Linked DNA regions of Neurospora crassa OR74A. The protein of the gene in region 2 binds, or shares a complex with, the protein of the main gene of each other region. Links are inferred from orthologs where the notes say so. Each region holds a gene or a part of one and is shown on either strand. Other genes may lie near its edges. The genes, in order: NCU06468 and NCU00794.

What was found.
Region 1: the proteins of NCU00794 (region 2) and NCU06468 are in contact, whole or in part, in a cryo-EM structure (PDB 6YLF), measured with the Saccharomyces cerevisiae proteins. The link is inferred for Neurospora crassa OR74A from reciprocal best matches to the Saccharomyces cerevisiae genes RSA4 and REA1. Residues at the interface, in NP_009997.2 of Saccharomyces cerevisiae: Leu29, Pro30, Asn31, Ala48, Leu49, Arg50, Val51, Pro52, Pro108; in NP_013207.1 of Saccharomyces cerevisiae: Glu4778, Thr4779, Cys4817, Glu4818, Asp4853, Met4854, Ser4855, Gln4856, Val4857.

The regions. Positions count from the first base shown.
Region 1 is NC_026503.1:1,510,687-1,518,895, forward strand, and holds part of NCU06468 (midasin), read right to left. Parts: coding exon 1-8,209. UniProt on the Saccharomyces cerevisiae protein: Nuclear chaperone required for maturation and nuclear export of pre-60S ribosome subunits.
Region 2 is NC_026501.1:7,139,221-7,148,605, reverse strand, and holds NCU00794 (ribosome biogenesis protein Rsa4), read right to left. Parts: upstream 5,386-9,385; 5' UTR 5,235-5,385; coding exon 4,885-5,234; intron 4,825-4,884; coding exon 3,831-4,824; intron 3,766-3,830; coding exon 3,640-3,765; intron 3,575-3,639; coding exon 3,491-3,574; 3' UTR 2,788-3,490; downstream 1-2,787. Other genes in the region: NCU00795 (membrane bound cation transporter), read right to left, coding at 6,263-7,829, 7,932-8,092. UniProt on the Saccharomyces cerevisiae protein: Involved in ribosome biogenesis. Required for processing and efficient intra-nuclear transport of pre-60S ribosomal subunits.

The DNA.
Region 1 (8,209 bases), on a different chromosome or scaffold from region 2:
CCAAGACACTTTGACTTCCTTTTTTCGCATTTCCTTGAGCATCCCGAGCATCGTCCATGACGATGAAAACAACCATTACGCGCTGCTCCATTGCCTCTCTTAGTAAGGGGCGAAGGCGCGCGTGGTCTTTACTCTGAACAAGACCGTCAGACAGGATAAGGGCGAGTTGCCAGAGATCTTCCCCTCCCGACTGAGAGGCCGAGGTGAGGCGCGCGTCGCGGAAGTGATCGATGGTTCGCCGCAAGAGGTTGACCATGTCCGTGCCCTCTTGTTTGAAAGTGAATTGCTGCAAGACCCTGGCGCCCGCGTCGTGAGAGGCAAAGGGGTCGGTGAGACGGTGCGCGACAAAGACGTCGGTGCCGAAACCGAGGACGCCGACTTGGCCTACTTCTAGCATGGTAAGCGCGCGGGAGGTCATGACGAGCGACTCCAAAGCCAAGCGGCCGGCGGAACCGGAGTTGTTGAGCGAGTCGCCCATGGATTGGGAGTCATCCACACAGAGCAAGATCTGGTAGGAGCGCTTGGTCGGGATGGCGCGGCGCATCCAGATCTTGTCGCGCTTGTAGGAGGAGGCGATGTAGGGAATGATCTTCTTGATGTTGAGGCGCTTGCCGGTGCGGAAGGAGCCGGAGAGCTTGGTGGATTGCGAAGGGGTGAGGATCAGGCGGAGTTGAGAAGACAAGGACATGGAGAGGGATTGCGTCTTGGTTTGGAAGGTGGTCCACATGGAGAGGGCCTCGTTGAAGTCGCGCAAGGGGCGAGGTGGTTGGTCTTCGAGGTGGATGGCGGAGAGCTGGGTGGACGATTCTTCGTTGATCGCCTCGTCTAGGTCGCCTTCCTTTGCGCTGGCCTTGCGGGCGTCGGAGTCCTCATCGTCAGAGTCTTCGAAGGCACCTTGGTGAGTGGCGACGCCGGAACGGCCGTCCTTGCGGTCCTCCTTGGGAGCGTCGGTGGAATCAGGGGCCTCGGCATCTTCCATGTCCACGTCCTCTTGCTTGTTGTCCTCGGCAGCGGGTTCATCCTCGGGTAAGACGTGGTTGTTGGCGTCTTCCATCTCGGTGTCAATGGCCATGGCATCGTCCATGGGACGAACTTCCTCATCATTGGCGGTGCCCAGAGCCTGGGTGTCGGGCTCGGCGTCTTCATCCTGCAAGTGCTGGAATTCAACCTTGGCCATGTCGACGTCGGGCTTCTGCTGCTCCTCCTTGCTTTCGGGGGCGTTGCGAATGTCGCGCTGGTTTCTGTACCATCTGTCGAGAGCATCACCGAGCTTCTTGAATGGTTGGCTGCTGGCCTCGGTCTCTTGATCCTCATTGGGGCCCTCCTGCTGCTCAGTCCTCGACTGCTCACCCTTGGAACCGGGGGCGTTGTCTTGGTCAGAGGACTGGTTGTTGACAGCACCTTGCTCACGCTGGGCGGCCTTGTTGTCGGCAGTATCGTCCTGCATGTCGTTCTGGTCATCTTGAGCAAGACCACCACCCGTCTTGACATCGCTGGGAGCAGCGTTATCGTCATCCGCCTGAGCCTGGTCATCGTTCAGACCGGGCTGTTCCTTCTCCTTGTCCTCCTCCTCCTTGTCCAAATCCTGCGGGGCATCTTCATCTTGCTCCTCCTCCTTGTCCATGTCCACATCCATGTTATCCTCATCCATAGGGTTCAGATCATCCGTCTCTTCAGCCTCAGCTTCCTCAGGCTTCTCTGCATCCTTCTGCTCCTCAAGCTGCTGCTCCTCCTCCACACCATTCGGCGCCTGCTCCTCTTCCATCTCTCCATCCTGCGGCTTCTCACCATCCTCCAGGTCATCCAAGTTATCCTCCTCCTCATCCTCTCCATCGCTGATATCAATCTGCATATCATCCGGCAACGCTAGGGTATCCTGCTCCTGCACATTCTGGTCCTGATTATTCAGTTCCTCCTGTGGCTGGGCGTCACCCTCCTGCTCCTGTCCCGGCTCACCTTCCTCCTCATCCTCGTTCTCCTCCTCACCCTCCTTCTTCTCCTTCTTTTCCTCCTCCTCACCCACCGCTTCCTCGCTCTCCTGCTGCTGCTCCTTCTTCTCCTTCCCTGGTTCCGCAGCAGCCTGCTCATCCTCATCCTGCTTGCCGCTATTATTCTCACCCTTCTGATCCTTCTCCGCATCCTCTTCATCTTTACCATCCCACATCTTCTCATCGACAGCAGTAGGATCGAGATCATCGACACCACCCGCCTCCTCGTCCATCTCATCATCCTCCTCATCATCACTACCATCCTTATCCTTCTGGTTCTCTTCATCTTCCTCTTCAGCCTTCACGCTCCCCATGTCTCCCTCGAGATCATCCTCACCCATGTCCACCGCGTCGGGGTTATCCTCGATATCGTTCTGGTTCTTGTTATTCTGATCCTGCGCGAGCTCGGAAAGGTCCTCGTCATCCTTGATATCCTTGCTGATATCCTCTGCTCCCTCACCGTCACCCAGACCGGTGCCGCTCTGCACGTCACCAGATTCACCGGACTTTTCCTTGCTCTCTTCTTGGGGAGAGCAGAAGCCTTGCTTGGCGATGACGATGAAGCTGTTGCTGAGGGTGTAGCCCAGACGGCAGGTGGACCGGTGCAGGTCGGCGTACTGAGCGAGGTTCTGCTGGCACGTGGCGGCGTACTGCTCGAGCATGGGCAGGATGGCGCGCAGGAGCGCAGTCTCGGCGTCCCGGACGGCAGGCTGGGACAGGTCGGAGGTCTTGAGCAGGCGGAGGATGCCGTCGACTTCGGAGGTGATGCGCGGCATGGCAAGGGTGTTGATGGCCTTCTCGAGGCCTTCGCTGTGGGCCAGGAACCAGCCGGCGTCTTCTTGGCTTTGGGGCAGGTTCTTGACGGCTTCAGGGAACTTTTGCAGGGCGACAAGGATGCGGCTGGACAGGTCCAGGGCGGACTTGGCGAACTCGTCGATGGTGGTTTCCTGAAGCTCGTTGGCGATGGCGACGGTTTGGGCGCTGGTCCAGAGCTGGACTTGGCGGATGACGAATGCCATGTCGGGTCTTTCGAGCAAGAGACTGCTGAGGCTTTCGCGAAGACCGTCGAGCTCCTTCTCGGCATCGCTATGAAGCTGCTCGAGAGCGGAGGAGCTGAAACCGGTAGGCAGACGAGGCAGGCTTTCCTGCTTGGTGGCCAAAGTGGCGAACGTATCGAGCCAATGCTGCAACTTGCTGCGAACTTGATCATTGCTGATATCGCCGAGCTTGCCGTGGACGTCGACCATGTAGACGGCGAACTTGAGGATCTGGACAAGCCAGCGCAGGACACGACCGTGGTTCGTTAAGCTCTTCTGCGACTGAATAGCCACCTCGCCGCCACGGCCTGAGACCTCCTTGGTGAAAGTAATGGCTTGGGCAAGAGCACGCTCCGCTTCAGCTGTGCGGGAGAGATACATGCGCTGCTTGAACATAACGTACAGAATACCCTCGAGGAAACCAATGGAACGGTGGACGATCTCGCGGTTAAGATCATCGTTGTGTTCGAAGGTAGCCTGGCGGAACTTGGGCGCCAAGTCGAGCATCTTGTGGTAGAAGTACTCGATGGCGTTGAGCTGCGACTCGCTCAGGTGGGGAACAAGACCCGAGTGGACGAGCACGGCGTGAGCAGACTTTTGGCGGTCGAGAATGGTGGTGCCCAGGTTACGACTGAAGCCCATCTCGCGAAGAGTCTTGAGCGTGTCGGTGTAGAGCTTAGTCTTTCTTGTCTTCAAGTGCGCCACGGCCTCCTTGTTTTCGTCAGTGAGGTGCTGGGGAGTCTCCTTGCGAAGCTCAGCCATCTCGGTGACCAACGAGGTGATGTATTCGTCCAAGTTGCTGGGGATCTCCACGGCCGAAGCAGGCAGCGAGCCAAACTTGCCCATCATCTTGAGGACGCCGGGAAGGTTGGTGATTCTTGTCCACTGCTGTTGGCTCTCTAGAGATGGAATGAGCTGCAAGACAAGGGCGATAGCCTCCTGGTCAGCTTGGACAGCGGCCTTGTCGACGATTGCCACGAGGCTCTTGTGCTCTTCCTCGGGAAGGCCTTGCTCGGTTATGCCGCTCACAGGCTGGGAAAGTACACCACGGAACTTCCTCACCAGCTTGAAAAGCTTCTGATGAGACTTGCGCGCACTAGCCCTGAGCGCCTCGATGTTCTTATCTCTCCACTTCGACAGTAGCAACACATCCTTCATCTTCCTGTCCAAGGGAGTTCTGCCGGCGGCGATAGCCTCCTTGACCTTGCGCTCGTACCTGGCGTGATAGGTGATGAAATTCTGGACAGCATCGCGGATGACGCTCAACTGAGGCTCATCCACCATCAGCAGCTCCAGCTGGTTTCTGAGCTGTCTGAGAAGGTTCAGACGAGAGGTGAACTGGCCGAGACTGGCAGTGTTAAAGTAGGATTCCAAAGCACCCAAGAGCTCGACCGCGTACGCATACAGATCCTTGCCCTCCTGCAACCACGAGCACGGCTGGAGGATGACGGCGCCGTAGGCGATGAACCACCAGGACTTGGCATCGTCGTGGCATTTCTTGGCTTCGGCGTCGAGCAGTCTCGACCAGCTGGACAGCTCGAGACGGCGCCAGTCGCAGATGGTATCGCGCAGCTTCTCATACAGGACGGTGGCCTTGTGCGCCTTGGTGGCCCAGCCGCCTTCGTGCCACTCGTACACGTGCGCGTAGAGCTTCTCCATGGGGGAGATGATGGCGGCCAGGGGATCGTCGATAGACATGTCGAGCACCTTGTCGCAAGCGATGATGACGTCGGCGAGAGTTTGATGGTGGCCGATTTCTTCGATGGTCTGTAGCTCCTGGAAGCGCTTCTTGAGGGCGGTGACGAGAGTGAGGGCCTTGCGGACCTCGACGAGGATAGAGTCGGTATAGAAGTTGTAGTTGTTGGAGTCAACGTTGGCGCTGAAGGCCTTGATCTGGTCCTCGAAGGCGAGGATGGTGGCGGGCAGAAGCAAGGCGTCCATCTCGGGCTCGCCAGCGGCGGCGTTGCGCTCCGCACGGGCAATCCTGCGAGCAACTTGGGTAAGCAAGATGCGAATGCTCTGCTGGGGCTCCTGAGGCGAGAGGAAAATCTTCTCATGAGCTTCCGCCAGCAAGATGGACAGGTCGCGGTTGCCGCGAGGAATCTGCTTCTTCTTCTTGGGCGCGTCGGCATCCTGCTCCTCGTCGTCGTCTACGTAGTCAGGGAACAGCTGATCGAATTCTTCTTGGTCAAAGGCCTCTTCATCTTCCAGACTCCCCTTGAAGCGGAACAAGCTGTTCTTCTGCTCTTCGGCCTTACGATCGGCCTCCAGCTTCTTGCTCCACTCCTCATGGAAAGCATAGAAGGACTCGTGTACAGCCTGTCTGAGGTTCTCCGGCAAGCTATCAATACCTTCGACGGCAACGATGGCCTGAACAAATGAGAGGAATTCAAGCGAGCGGAGAGGCAAGCTCTTAGCCTCAGCGTCCCAGACAGTACCGCTAAGGAAAGGGGTGGCCTTGACCATGCTCTTGAAATCGGTTTCGTCGGAGCTCTTGGCAGGGACGGCACCCTGGCCGAGCGAAAGACCAAGCTGCAAGCAGCGCAAGAAGCTAACCAGCGGCATCGTCAAGTCCTGGTAGGCATTGAAGCGACCAATGAAGCGGCCAACAAGAGCAACAAGGTTCCTCTCAACGAGGGAAAGCTCCTCGGAAGCATCCTCAGCGTCGGTGGAAATGGAGCGCAGATGCGAAGCAGCCACGTCGTTCTGTACAAGGGCATTCAGAACATTGTTGAACTCTCCCTGCAGGCCACGAAGCTCCGAGTCGCCAGGGCGGTAGATAGACTGAACAGCAGGCGGCTCCCCAAGACCAGCAACTTCTTCCATGAGAAGCTTGCAGCGGAGACCGGCGTGCTGGCCGGTGAAGGCAAGCTCAAACGCCTCGAGAGCAGCGATCTGTTGCTGCAGGCTTTCGTAGATCTCGCGGTGCTCCTCCTGCTCGATCTCAGCGCGGTGGTGAGGATCGAAGATCTTGTCGGGAATGAAGAGCTTGATGGACGCAAGAGAGAATTGAACCCAAGCGACGGAAGTGTATGCAGAGCGAGGCTGGAGACCCTTCTCGGCGGCGGCCAGGGCTCTCAAAGCCTTGTAGAAGTGCCTCTCAAAGATGACAACGAGGTGCTGAGGCCACTGAGTGGTATCAATCGCAAAGTTGGTTCCCTGTTCGAGGAGAGCAGCGAGCTCAGCCACCTGGACATTGCCCATCTCATTCATAAGACCATGGAAGAAAGGCACGACGACGCCCTTGCAAAGATCGCCATGAGCAGCCATTATCTCCTCCATCAGCTTCAGCAACAGCCGCTCCGTCTTCTTCAGCGAATCGGTAGCCAGAGCATCGGAAGACTTGGCGAGGATCTTGCCCATGATAGGCAACTCGGTCTCCAAAGAATGCAACTCGTGCATGCTGGCTGAGGAAGTGGCATCGTACTTGAGCAAGAGCGACCTGGACAGGGTACCAGTCCAAGGACGAACCTCACTATCCTGGGCAAGCAAGCAATCGACCAACTGCAGCGGCGAAGACCCCGAAGCGCGGAGACGCATCAGAGCAACAGTGGGGAGGTTGGAAAGCACGTCGATATCAGACAGAGCGGGCAAAACGACCTCGCCGTCCTCCGTAACTTGGTGAAGAACAAGAGCCTGTCTAAGTGCCTCAAAAGTGGAAGCAAAGAACGGCTCGTGAGTCCATGGATGTTGACCAATTCTAGCCTCGAGGGTGGAAATCTCCGACTCGAGTTCCCTGACAAGCGCAGAGGCATCACCTCTTCCGCTGCGAACGACGGTATATGCCCTAGCCATAGCTTCCTGAACGCTTCTCAGAGTGGGGATGGAAGCATCAGCCTTCCAGCGCAGCGAATCGAACCGATCAGCAAGTCTCTCCATCTCAATGACCTGCTTCAAACACTCCTGATCAGCGACCGGCTCAGGACGCAGCTGATTCCACAGCGCCTCCATACTGAGACCAGTCGAAAGCTTGAAGCCGACGACAAAGTCGCGCTCGAGATACTCCAAGATGGTAGCAAGCATCTTGCGATCATCAGCCTCTTGCAGAACGGAAAGGGCCTTCCTCAGGAGGTTAGAGCCCTGCGTCAAGTGCGCCTGGAAACGGGCCTCCTCGAACTTGGCATTAGGCACGATGAGCGCCTCGAAGGTGCGCGTCCAGAAGAGCATCAGACGCCTCAAGATGGCGCGACGCTCCTTCCAGGCTCTGGACTCGTTAATGGTCTCGCTCATGTAGGCCTTGAACAGCTTGAGCATAGAGGCCAGGAAGCGGGCGGCGTTGACAGTGGAGTCGCGAGAGAGCGAGGCGACCTTGTCGGCGATCCAGGAGCGCTGGAGGCGGTTGAGTTGGGACGGCTTGCTGACATTGACTTTGCCAAGCTGAGCTTCCATGGCGGACTGGGCGGATTGGATGTCGAGGTAGAGCTCGTAGCAGCCGGCGATCCAGGCCGCCAGACCCTCGCGATCCTGCTCGAGAAGAGGAATCATAGGCGGGTTGAGCAGAGGGTGGAGAGGCATGAGCATCTTGTTAGGGGCAGAGCCGTACAGAGAGGCAACAGCCTGTCTCAGCGCACCGGCATCTTCAGCACTGATGTAAGACAAAAGCTGAGCGAGACGTTGGCTAGCAGCGGGAGACTTGATCAGGCCGTTGGTAGAAGCTTGCATGAAGGCCTCGAGGAGTCTGGTATCACCAAGAGAGAGGACATCAAATGCCAGAGGAGCAAGGACATCCGCGTTCTCAGCGCCGTTCAGGATTCTCGTGGCAGTGTGGAAGCGTTGCAAACTGCCATCAACAGGCGCAATAGTCTGATGACCGGCGTTCTTTGCCTCCCAAGGCGCACCTTCGAGATAGATTTCAACGGAACGGTTCCTCATGGCACGCGAAAGCTCGCCGTAACGGGGATCAACAGTAAGGAAGATTCTGAAGTCAGGATGAGGGGTCAAGATGCGCGGCTCGCCACCGGGACCGCTGTGCTCGTTGATGCTCAGGGAGCCATTGGGACGCTCGAGAAGGGAGTTGAGTCTATCAAGCACGGAGGCACTGCACAGGTTGGCGTTATCTAGCACCAACCAAGCACCAGTCTCGACAGCCCGGACAATGACACCATCAAGCCACTCGAAGCGAGGGTTTTCCAGAGTCAGAGGCTTGCGGAGCAGCTCAGCAGTCTCGGAAAGAAGAGGAGCGAG
Region 2 (9,385 bases):
TATGCAAATGCAATCATACTGGGTTAGTGCAGACCGATGGCAGACGACCGAGCCTTAGTTACAAAAGACTGGCGCGTACACAATCGAGAGACCCTGGTTTTCTGTAGGATGGAAGTATCGTTCCCCACTGACCTATCAACCTGGATCAACACCTTGAAGTTCCCAGCACCATCACCTTTCTCAGCCCATCCATGTCTGCTACCTCCCGATCGAGGAACCGAAACTCATCGATGCGGTAGGGTTGTTTGTCTGGAATATAGGGCCAGGCTTCCCACAAGGACCTTTGTACGCCTCGACTCACGATGTAGGGGGATTGAGCGCTCTTGTTTTTGGAAATGTGAGTGGTGTACACATATCCGCAAGGCTGGTATCTTGCAGCATCGACAGGTATTCTTTTATTGCGTAACCGACTGGGGATCGGGTAATCCCTGAGCCCTAAACTAGAATAGCTCTAGTGCAATCATGGGGACATGGGAATGGAGGACGACAGTTGTATGTACATTTACAAACTCAGACACACGTGGGGAGAGGATCACTGGGGACGTACTTCCTGTGTGTAGATGGACGCAAGTCTTGAGTGTGAGAAGGGAAGAAACTGAACGAAGCTACCTCTACATAACGTTGCCCCATGTAGTGTCGTTGTATCCAAGCTCTTTGCATGAACCGCGAATATCAAATTGCCTCTGAAATCCTAGAATGATGGGGTATTTCACTCGAATACTACAGCCCATCCAAGTGAGTGGAGACAAAAGACAGGAACTCGGCCCAGCAGCCGGCTGTAAGACGCCGTCGATCCGGCAGGCGGTTTGATGGAGATGGTCAGAAAGTCAGAGGCGCATTGCATGCTTCCCAATTTCCGACCTGGCAAGCGACGGTGGGATGGGTTTTTGGTGAATGCGGTGCGATGCTATCAACACCAATGACCAACGGTATAGCGGTTGTTTTGCAACCCATTCATAGTATACTAGGTAGGTGGGTACACACACAGCCCAAGGCGAAGAAAAAGTCCCGAAAAAGAGACGATTTGATCGTGTCCCGAATGGACTCCCAGACCCCTTTGGTTGACGGACTCAAAGAAAGACATCATGAAGGACTGGGCTACACGAACACGGCATTGCATTGCTCAAAATCATTTATGAAATCTCCGGGCTCCGATCACGGGGTGAGGCAGAGAGGCGAGTCGAAAGGGCGTTTGAGGTTTTTTTGCGGTGACCATAACATACATTCTACCTGTAGGTAGGTAGCTCTGCCGTCGTTGACTTTCACTTGTTGTCGTCGTTCTTGCTGCTGTTGTTATTGATTTCGCGTCCGGCCGGCAGAGTCAAACTTTTCAAAACTTACCTATCCGGCCAGATCTTCAACGCGGTACCACTAGGGTGTCCAGTAGGATCGACAGCTTTCAAAACGTGCTGCTTGGACGGACTAGACCTGATGCCCGAACTGACGATCACCTATCCAGACCTCCATACCAGACAACTAGTGTACACTACACTAGAGGTAAAGTCGGGTCGGTCTCGCTTCATTCCGTGGATCGGCAGATCTGCAAAAGAAGCTGCCTGGCGGCGCTTGCCAGACCGGCTGTAAGCTAGGTGGTTGAGGATTTCAAATCGACTTTTCATGACAATATATGTTGAGAGGTGATGAAAGGACTTTGGTCAGATGAGGCTGGCCATGGCTTCAGCGTATACAAGTGAAAGTCGCGATATGCAAAGAGGATCGAAGGGGGTTGTTTCGCGTTGTGTTTCGATCGACAGACAACCAAGAAATAAACGTCTATCAGGGGCAATTCCTATCGATGACAGCAGAAGCGGGGGAGGGGAGATTTGGGCTTTTCTGTACCGGTCGGTGTATCCACTGACCAAGCCACCCATAGAAGGCGCAGCTGTCTAGGTACCTCTGTGTAGTTGACTTGTAGTGTGAAAAGGGAACTCCTGTTAAAAACGTCGCCCAAAAGCCCAGAACAATGCCCAGAGTTTCAGTTGCATGGAATCCATGGCTTGCCGTTTCAAGTGGGTGTGACACGAATGAATGAGGCAAGGCGTGTCCCGATATCTCCCGAGATACCACTGTATTTCGAAGGTTGCGGTTGGCTGTTGACGAAGGCTGGGGAACAAGGTTTTTAACCAGAAATTGGAAAAGGTTGGTTTTCTTTCTGGAGCACAAGGGCTTGTTGAAGATGGAAGCTTCCAATTCTTCCATCTCAACGTCGTATTGGTTGTTATTTCCACCATTCACTTGCCGCTCTGGAGGAAATAGCTCACTAAGTTTGCTAATCAAAGATGTCATCGCGAAAAGCATGAGGCATAACCGAATGCTTCTTTATTGGTGTGACGGACAAACTCAATCACAAAGAAATCGTGAGGCATTTGTGAACAACAAGAGAAAGTGACAAGAAAAGAAGAAACAGATGAAAATTGAAATCAATGACTGTTGGACTTGCCGTTTTCTAGCGTACATACGTTTTCCAGACTTGGGAAACATACCTTGAAAAGCGGGGGCGACGACGTTGGACCCGACGCGGCACGGCGGGGCGGGGAAGTGGAAGGCTGCCTCCTGCTCCCTCTTGCCTGCTACAGACCGGGACCCATAGGACCAGTGGCAGCTCCCGTCCGGGCCTTCGAAGGATGCTTCAGAAAAAAGAAAAAAAAAGGCTTGCAGTGTGCGTGGTTCTTGCTACCTCTGGTCTGTTGCTTCGGGAAAGTGAATCATATGCCGTCTTCGAAAGTTACATATTCGTAACTCTGAACATCAACGGCTGGTTCACTAGCTCCAAACGTCATGATTAAACAACGTCTCTCTAGGTTGCCATGAATGCATATCACTATCCTTGTCTATATCGTGGCACCTATGTAACGCCCTGCATGATGCGCGCAATGAGAACCATTCCATCAAATGCTCGCATCTATCAAACCTCAAATGGATACCCCCGGACATCGCTTAACATGACCACGTCTCTGTCTATCTATGGTGCTTTCCATTTTCCAAATCTTTCGAGCGTCTTGTTGGTCTTGGTGTGTGGTCGCGCGGTTTGGTAACATTGAACTGGCGGCGGGAGATTTTACCGATTTGCCAGGCCCATTCCATCGCCTCTTTCGCTCTTGCCCAGCGATTCGGAAAGTTTGGCAGAGGCGCAGTCGGTAAGCACTTAACAGCCACACAACATCACCACCCTGCGAGTCGAGGTGATGTGTGCAGCCGTGTTGCGTATTGACTCAGCAAGGCCTCTTTGGTGAGCCGATACTAGTAGCTAGGCTGACGTCAAGGAAACTTGGCTCGCGAAGATTGCCGTGAAAGTTGTTTCTGGCAGATACCTGGGCATGTAGTATCCCAAGCCGGCTCGTTCGTGCGAACGGCAAACTGCTGCAAACACCACGGAAGCAGGCCAGAAGTCATATCACCCCGCTGAGGCCTCCGCGAGTGAAGTAGAGCGGGGGCTCTCGGGTTCCGACTGCTGGCTGTAGGAGAGTAAGGTTCGTTCTTGCCCTCTTCTTTAGTTTCTCCATGTCCTCACGGCCTTATCCTTTCCGCCTGATCCTACCATCTTGCCATCCGGCGACCAGTCCACAGCGTATACCTGGAAGCGAGTTAGAATTTTCCAGCAGTGGGAACACCGATGTCGCCGTGATTTGGTTCACATACCTCGTCTTCGTGTCCGGGAAGGTCCATGGCGAGAGTGCCAGTGCGCACATTCCATGCCTTGAGGGTAGTATCTTTGCTAGCCGTAATCAGAAGCCTGCTATCGGCGGACCAGGAGCATTGGTAGACCTGAAGTATCAACGCGTTAGAACTTTCCCCTCGTGGTAAGAGATGAATGTGGGTAAGGAACTCACGGGTGCAACATGACCCCTCAAGCTCTTGAGGAACTTGCCATCCCTGGCATTCCAGAGCTTCACGCTGTTATCCCAACCAACCGAGGCGATCAAAGTGCCATCGGGAGAGAATTGGACCTGGTTCACCTTGTTCTGGTGTCCCAAAAGTCTAGCAACGGGCTTGGTACCGTTGTTGGTGGGGTCCCACAGGTACATGGTAAAGTCGTCACTGGCAGATACGATGCGCTCAGCAACCTTGCCATTGATCTTGGCCGCTCTCTCGAAACGCTCCTTGGCCTTCTCCCTCCTGCCCTCCTCGGTGGAAGGGACGTCCTTGGTGTGGTCAAAGTAGGCGGTCCTCAGGGCGTGGTCGCTGGACAAACCAATATGGTTGATCCAGTGGGCGTGAGATGTCAAGCTGTGTACCAAGGTGCCCTTGACGGCGTCGAATACCCGGACAACCTTATCGTGCGAACCCGTGTAGATGAGGTCGGTTCCACCCCATCGCACGCAGGCGACGGAGCTCCTGTGACCGCTCAGGACGTGCTCGGTACGGCCTGTGTTGACAACCCAAATCCTACAGGTACCATCCTTGCTAGCACTGGCAATCCTAGGGGTGCCGTCTCTCCACAAGTGGTACGGCTGCCACGCCGTCATCAACACCCATTTGGCGTGGCCCTTGAAAGGCTGACCAACGGGCTTGCCGGCCTCGGGATCCCATATCCTCACTGTGCCATCCATGCTGCAGGTCGCTAGTTGCTCTCCATCGGGTCTCCAGCTGACGCCGAGGACCCAGCCGGTGTGCCCTTTCAATGTGTGCTTCGGGGTACCTGTATTTGTATCCCAAATACGAGCTGTGTTGTCGCCGCTGCCGGTAGCAAGGCGTCCGGATGAAATAGGCGAGAACTGGGCTGCGAGGATGGGTTGGCCGTGACCGGGAATGCGATGGGCAAGGCGCGAAACTGCTTGTACCCTGAAAACAGCCTGGGGCTCGGCACTAAGAGTAATTGTGGTTCTATGCGGAGGTTAGCGAAGCAGTTACGTGCTGGGCTTCCTGTGTCCGGGTCTTGCATACTCGAAGGGGTTCTCGACACCATGCTGCTTGAGAAGGCCGAGGAGGTCGGAAGGGTACTGGTCGACAATGATATCCTTGCCGGGAATATGGATGCGGAATCGGTATGGGGTGAACTCTTCGCGGTCCCTCTCGAGCAGGGTGTTGAGCAAGACGGAGATGTTCTTTTCGGTGGCATCGGCAAAGTTGATTTCGATGACATCGGTCATCTGGTTGCCATCGCTGTCGACGAAGTTGGCCTTGAAGGAGCCGAGCTCAGGCGCCAGTATCGGGGCGACATCGAGCTGTGTTGTGGTGCGCTCAATCTCCTCTCTCTTTTGGCGCTTCGACGGGGGTGGTAGTACTGTCGCCATCTTGGATTATGTTGTGCCAGAAGTTGTCGCTGAAAGTGTGTTGCGATACTCGCCCGACTTCCAGGAAGTGTTGATGGATTGGGGGCCTTCTGGGTTTGCACTGGACTTGCTGCCCCTGCAAAGGCTGGACCCAGCAGAATGCGGACAGTCCAAAATTTTGGCGGTGATGGCGTGCAAAACTGGCTTGGCATGTCCAGTTCCAATGGAGCTCTGACCCACACTTGCTTTCCCCATGTCTCCACAGGGGCATCACGAAGCTGGGCCAGGGCTGTTTACGATTTAGCGCTGTTAGTGCGTCTGCATCCAAACCTTCCACTTGAACCATCGGGCATCATCCCATGTCATCATCATCCCATCTCCAAACATTCCAACACTCCGAGTCAACTCCCACTTGTCGTCACCACTGCTTCCCAACAGCTGTTATACTGTATACCCTACGTGATCTCCCATCTATGTATGAACCCAGCATGAGCATCGCCCGGCTGTTCTTGACTCCTCCGGAGGGGATTCATGTTCCGACATGACGCCTTTTTGTTTCTCTATACTACTACACAAGGCACAAAAATTCATTTCTCTCCCTTTGTCTAGGTGACCCAGACCCTCAAATATCGCCCACGTCCAGAGGAATCGCTATACCCTGGATTCCCTTCACCAGGATACTCGTCAACTATCTCTACTTATTGACCAAACTTCTCATTCCCCTCGCTTCTCATTGACCGGCAGTCCCGATATTCCAGGCTGCCCGGGTTTTCGCTTTCCCAATGCCACTTGCAAAGTATTGCGGCTGCTGCTGGTCCCAAGTCGGGTACGGTCACGGCTGGCACTGGCTCTGGTACTAGCTTTGATACTGCATCTGATGCGGCCTCTGCTACGACAATTACTGATATGGCTGTTGGCAAAAGCCTAAACCTCCTTAGTCAAGACAAACTACTCCTTCGGTCTGGGCCTCAACCATAACCGTTCATCTGTCATCCGAACCTAGGTAGCCTACACACTCCGACCTCCCATCCTAAATTCTGTCTTCACCCTTACCCAACAGAGCTAGCCAACCTTGGATTTGGCAAGTAAAACGCTGCCACGGCGATAATGAGGTAGGCAGATGCCAAAAGTGCTCCCTCGAGGTAGTTACTCCTCCCATCTCTAACGAGAAAATTCACAATGAAGGTGCTAACGAACATGCAGACAGTCTCGAAGAGGGTAAAGTAGAGAGACATGTCTCGATCCATGATCCAGCCCAAGATAACCACTACCGGCGTCACAAACAGCGCAATCTGGATACTGCTGCCCAGTGCCACGCCCAGTGCCAAGTCCATCTTGTTCTTGAGTGCCACGCTCACAGATGTGATGTGTTCAGCTGCATTGCCTACAATGGGGATGAGCACTAGACCGATGAAGGCTTCAGAGATGCCTGTAGTTGCATTGGCATCCCGGGCGACGATTGCATCGATGGAGTCCACCATGAACTCGGCACAAACGGCGACCAAGCCGGTCGAGGCCAGAAGAAGGATTACGGCGGCTTTCTGTGGCATGGCTTCGACCTCTGTTGTCTCTTGGGCCGCTGGCTTTTCCTCACTGTTGCGAGGCGAGGCCGGTGTGCTGTCAACCACAATGGGGACTACTACCGGCAATTGGCCGGGTGCCTGTCGATTGCTCGCAGCCCTCTGTGTTCGAGTCGGCATAGACTGGACACGCCGCAGTGGCTGTCCTTGTGCATTATGCTCCGGTTGCTCTGCTTCGTTGGGGTTCTCCAGCATGGAGGCAACAGCAGTTGAGATCGGCCGGAGCGATCTGAGTAGAAACGGCGCAGCACGAGAGGCCGTGTCCCACTGTGCCTCTAGGTCACTGGCCAGACCAAGACCAGCATGATGTTCGTTGGTCCCAGAATTTTGGTCTCGGCCTTGCGACGGCTCAACGTCTTTTGTTTCACCCTGCTGGCCTGGGCCTCTTGCATCATCGGCAGCGAACGTGTCAGTATCAGGCTGGCCAGCAGGGATGAGTTCCTGCGTCTGGTGTAGCGTGTCATCTGTGACAGCTTCCGTCCTTTCGGCGGCGTCGTGCTCTGTTGTGGTTGCACCCCTGCTGTTCTCCTGTCTTCCAGCTGTGCCACCATCTTCGTTCGACATGGCTTGGGGCGCTTGTAATGCGTTCTCATCAGGAGTCCTAGGTGGAGATGAAGACGAGTTACGTCTAGAGCTGAAGTAATGAGCTGCGGGGCCGGGTGCCGCTGCTTGTTCGATCAAGTGTCTTGGCGTTGGTGCGTACAAATAGGAGTGCGACTGTAGCTGGAAGATGAGGTAAAGGAGGTAGATAACGAGCAGGATGACACTGGTTCCCCGGCTGAGCGGCAGAACCTTGATATCCGCCTCCTGCTCGTTTTTAAACGTGGCGTGGAACGCGGTTGGGAGCATCAAGCTCAGCACACTCAGCGTGAGCAAACAAGCGCTCATCTGGGTTACGGTGCTGTTGTAGATCTGCTCGCGGAATCGCAAACCGCCCCAAATGAAGCACATTCCCAGGATTAACAGGAGATCAACCAAAATTGATCCAACGAGAGAGGCCTGGACGATCCGGATTTCATTCTTCACGAGCGCAATGCTGTTGTTTGCGCACCCTTCGTCAGCTTTAAGCCCTTTCTGATCGGCTCAGTACCTCGAAAGACGTTGTGAAAGAGCCTGTGGGGGATCAAAGTTCACTCACATGAAAATGATTAGCTCGACAGCGTTTCCAAAGGTGACGTTCATCAAGGCAGCAACCGTGTCACCGCAACGACCGGCTACGCTTTCCGTTGCGTGGCTGAGGAGCCCGGCCAGAGGAATAATTGCCACAGCGTTCATGCCGAATACCACGCCAGCCGGCATGGACGTGAAGTCTGCGGTGACAACCTCAAGGGAATCAGCAATCTACCTGTAGGGATCTCACGCAAGCAGCACATGACGGCCACGAACTGCTACAAGTGTAGCTCATTCTGAAGGGTTAGGCGAGGTACCTCCTTGGAGCCTAGCCCTGAGAAGAGCCACTGGTGTACGGCGTTCTAGCCTTGGAGATAGCCTAGACCGCCCAGTGCCCTATAACGAGGAGGATGTAAAGTGGATACCGGTGAACTTACGGACGGCAAATGCTACTGGTACAAAGACCAGTCCTATGTTCAAGAAGCGCGAGAAAAGAATTCCGTTGGCGCAGGTGTAGAAGCGCGCCAGTGCCGAGGGCTTCTTTGCTTGTAGCTCTTCAGATATCACTGCACCGTGGCGGCCAGTCTCGGCTGTCGAAATCGTGCCATGGCGGCTGTGACTTGCTCTGAAAATCGGCGCAGCATCAGACCTAGTGCGCACCAGAGGCGTTGGGCCATGAGCTTTTGCCCTAGCCCAGGTCCGGATTCTGTCTGTAACCCACACAGATGTTAGTGAATGGCCTTTTCGAAATTATATGCCGGTGGAAGGCGGACGTGAGGAGCTCAGGGAAACTCACGCATGACTGAACGGTTGTAGCACGCGGTTGTTGATTAGATTTCCGCTCACTTTACTTTGAAAGCGCGGGAGAAAAAAGGGGGCGGGATGAACGAGTGTTAGGACCAGATACCAAAAACTGACGACTGACTAAATCCAAGCAGACTGGAACATCTGGAGTTAGGAGCTGAAGTTCTTTTCTATATACATAAGGTAACCTAGAGGTTAAAAAAAATGGTTTGCGCAAGAGAGATACTCTGATGGCATGTTTTCTGCCATGGCAGCATCATCACACGGCATTAGATTGCATCTGACTTGGAGCAGTTCACGACATCAAGTGAACCTCCAGTGTCACGCTTATGCACGATCAACTGCATCTAAGGGACAAAGATTGCATCGGTAGCCGGTTGGTGCCTCCAGATCTCTTCTGCAAGTCCTTCATTCTAACATCAAAAACCCATCTGTGACGACAAGCCACATCATCGAATGGAAAGGATCAGAAATCGGGGAACTGTCACTAGCAGACCATGCGGTGATCTTGAGTACATAAAGGCAAACAACAACAAGTGAATGTATGTCGTGTACACAATACGTTGTTAAGGAGTGTTGTTAGGCACCACACGGAGTCCGCGATCTAGTCGTCACCTATCCAGTCTATGATATAGGTACGCTTCGTCGATGGCACATATATGTAGGTCTATATTAGGA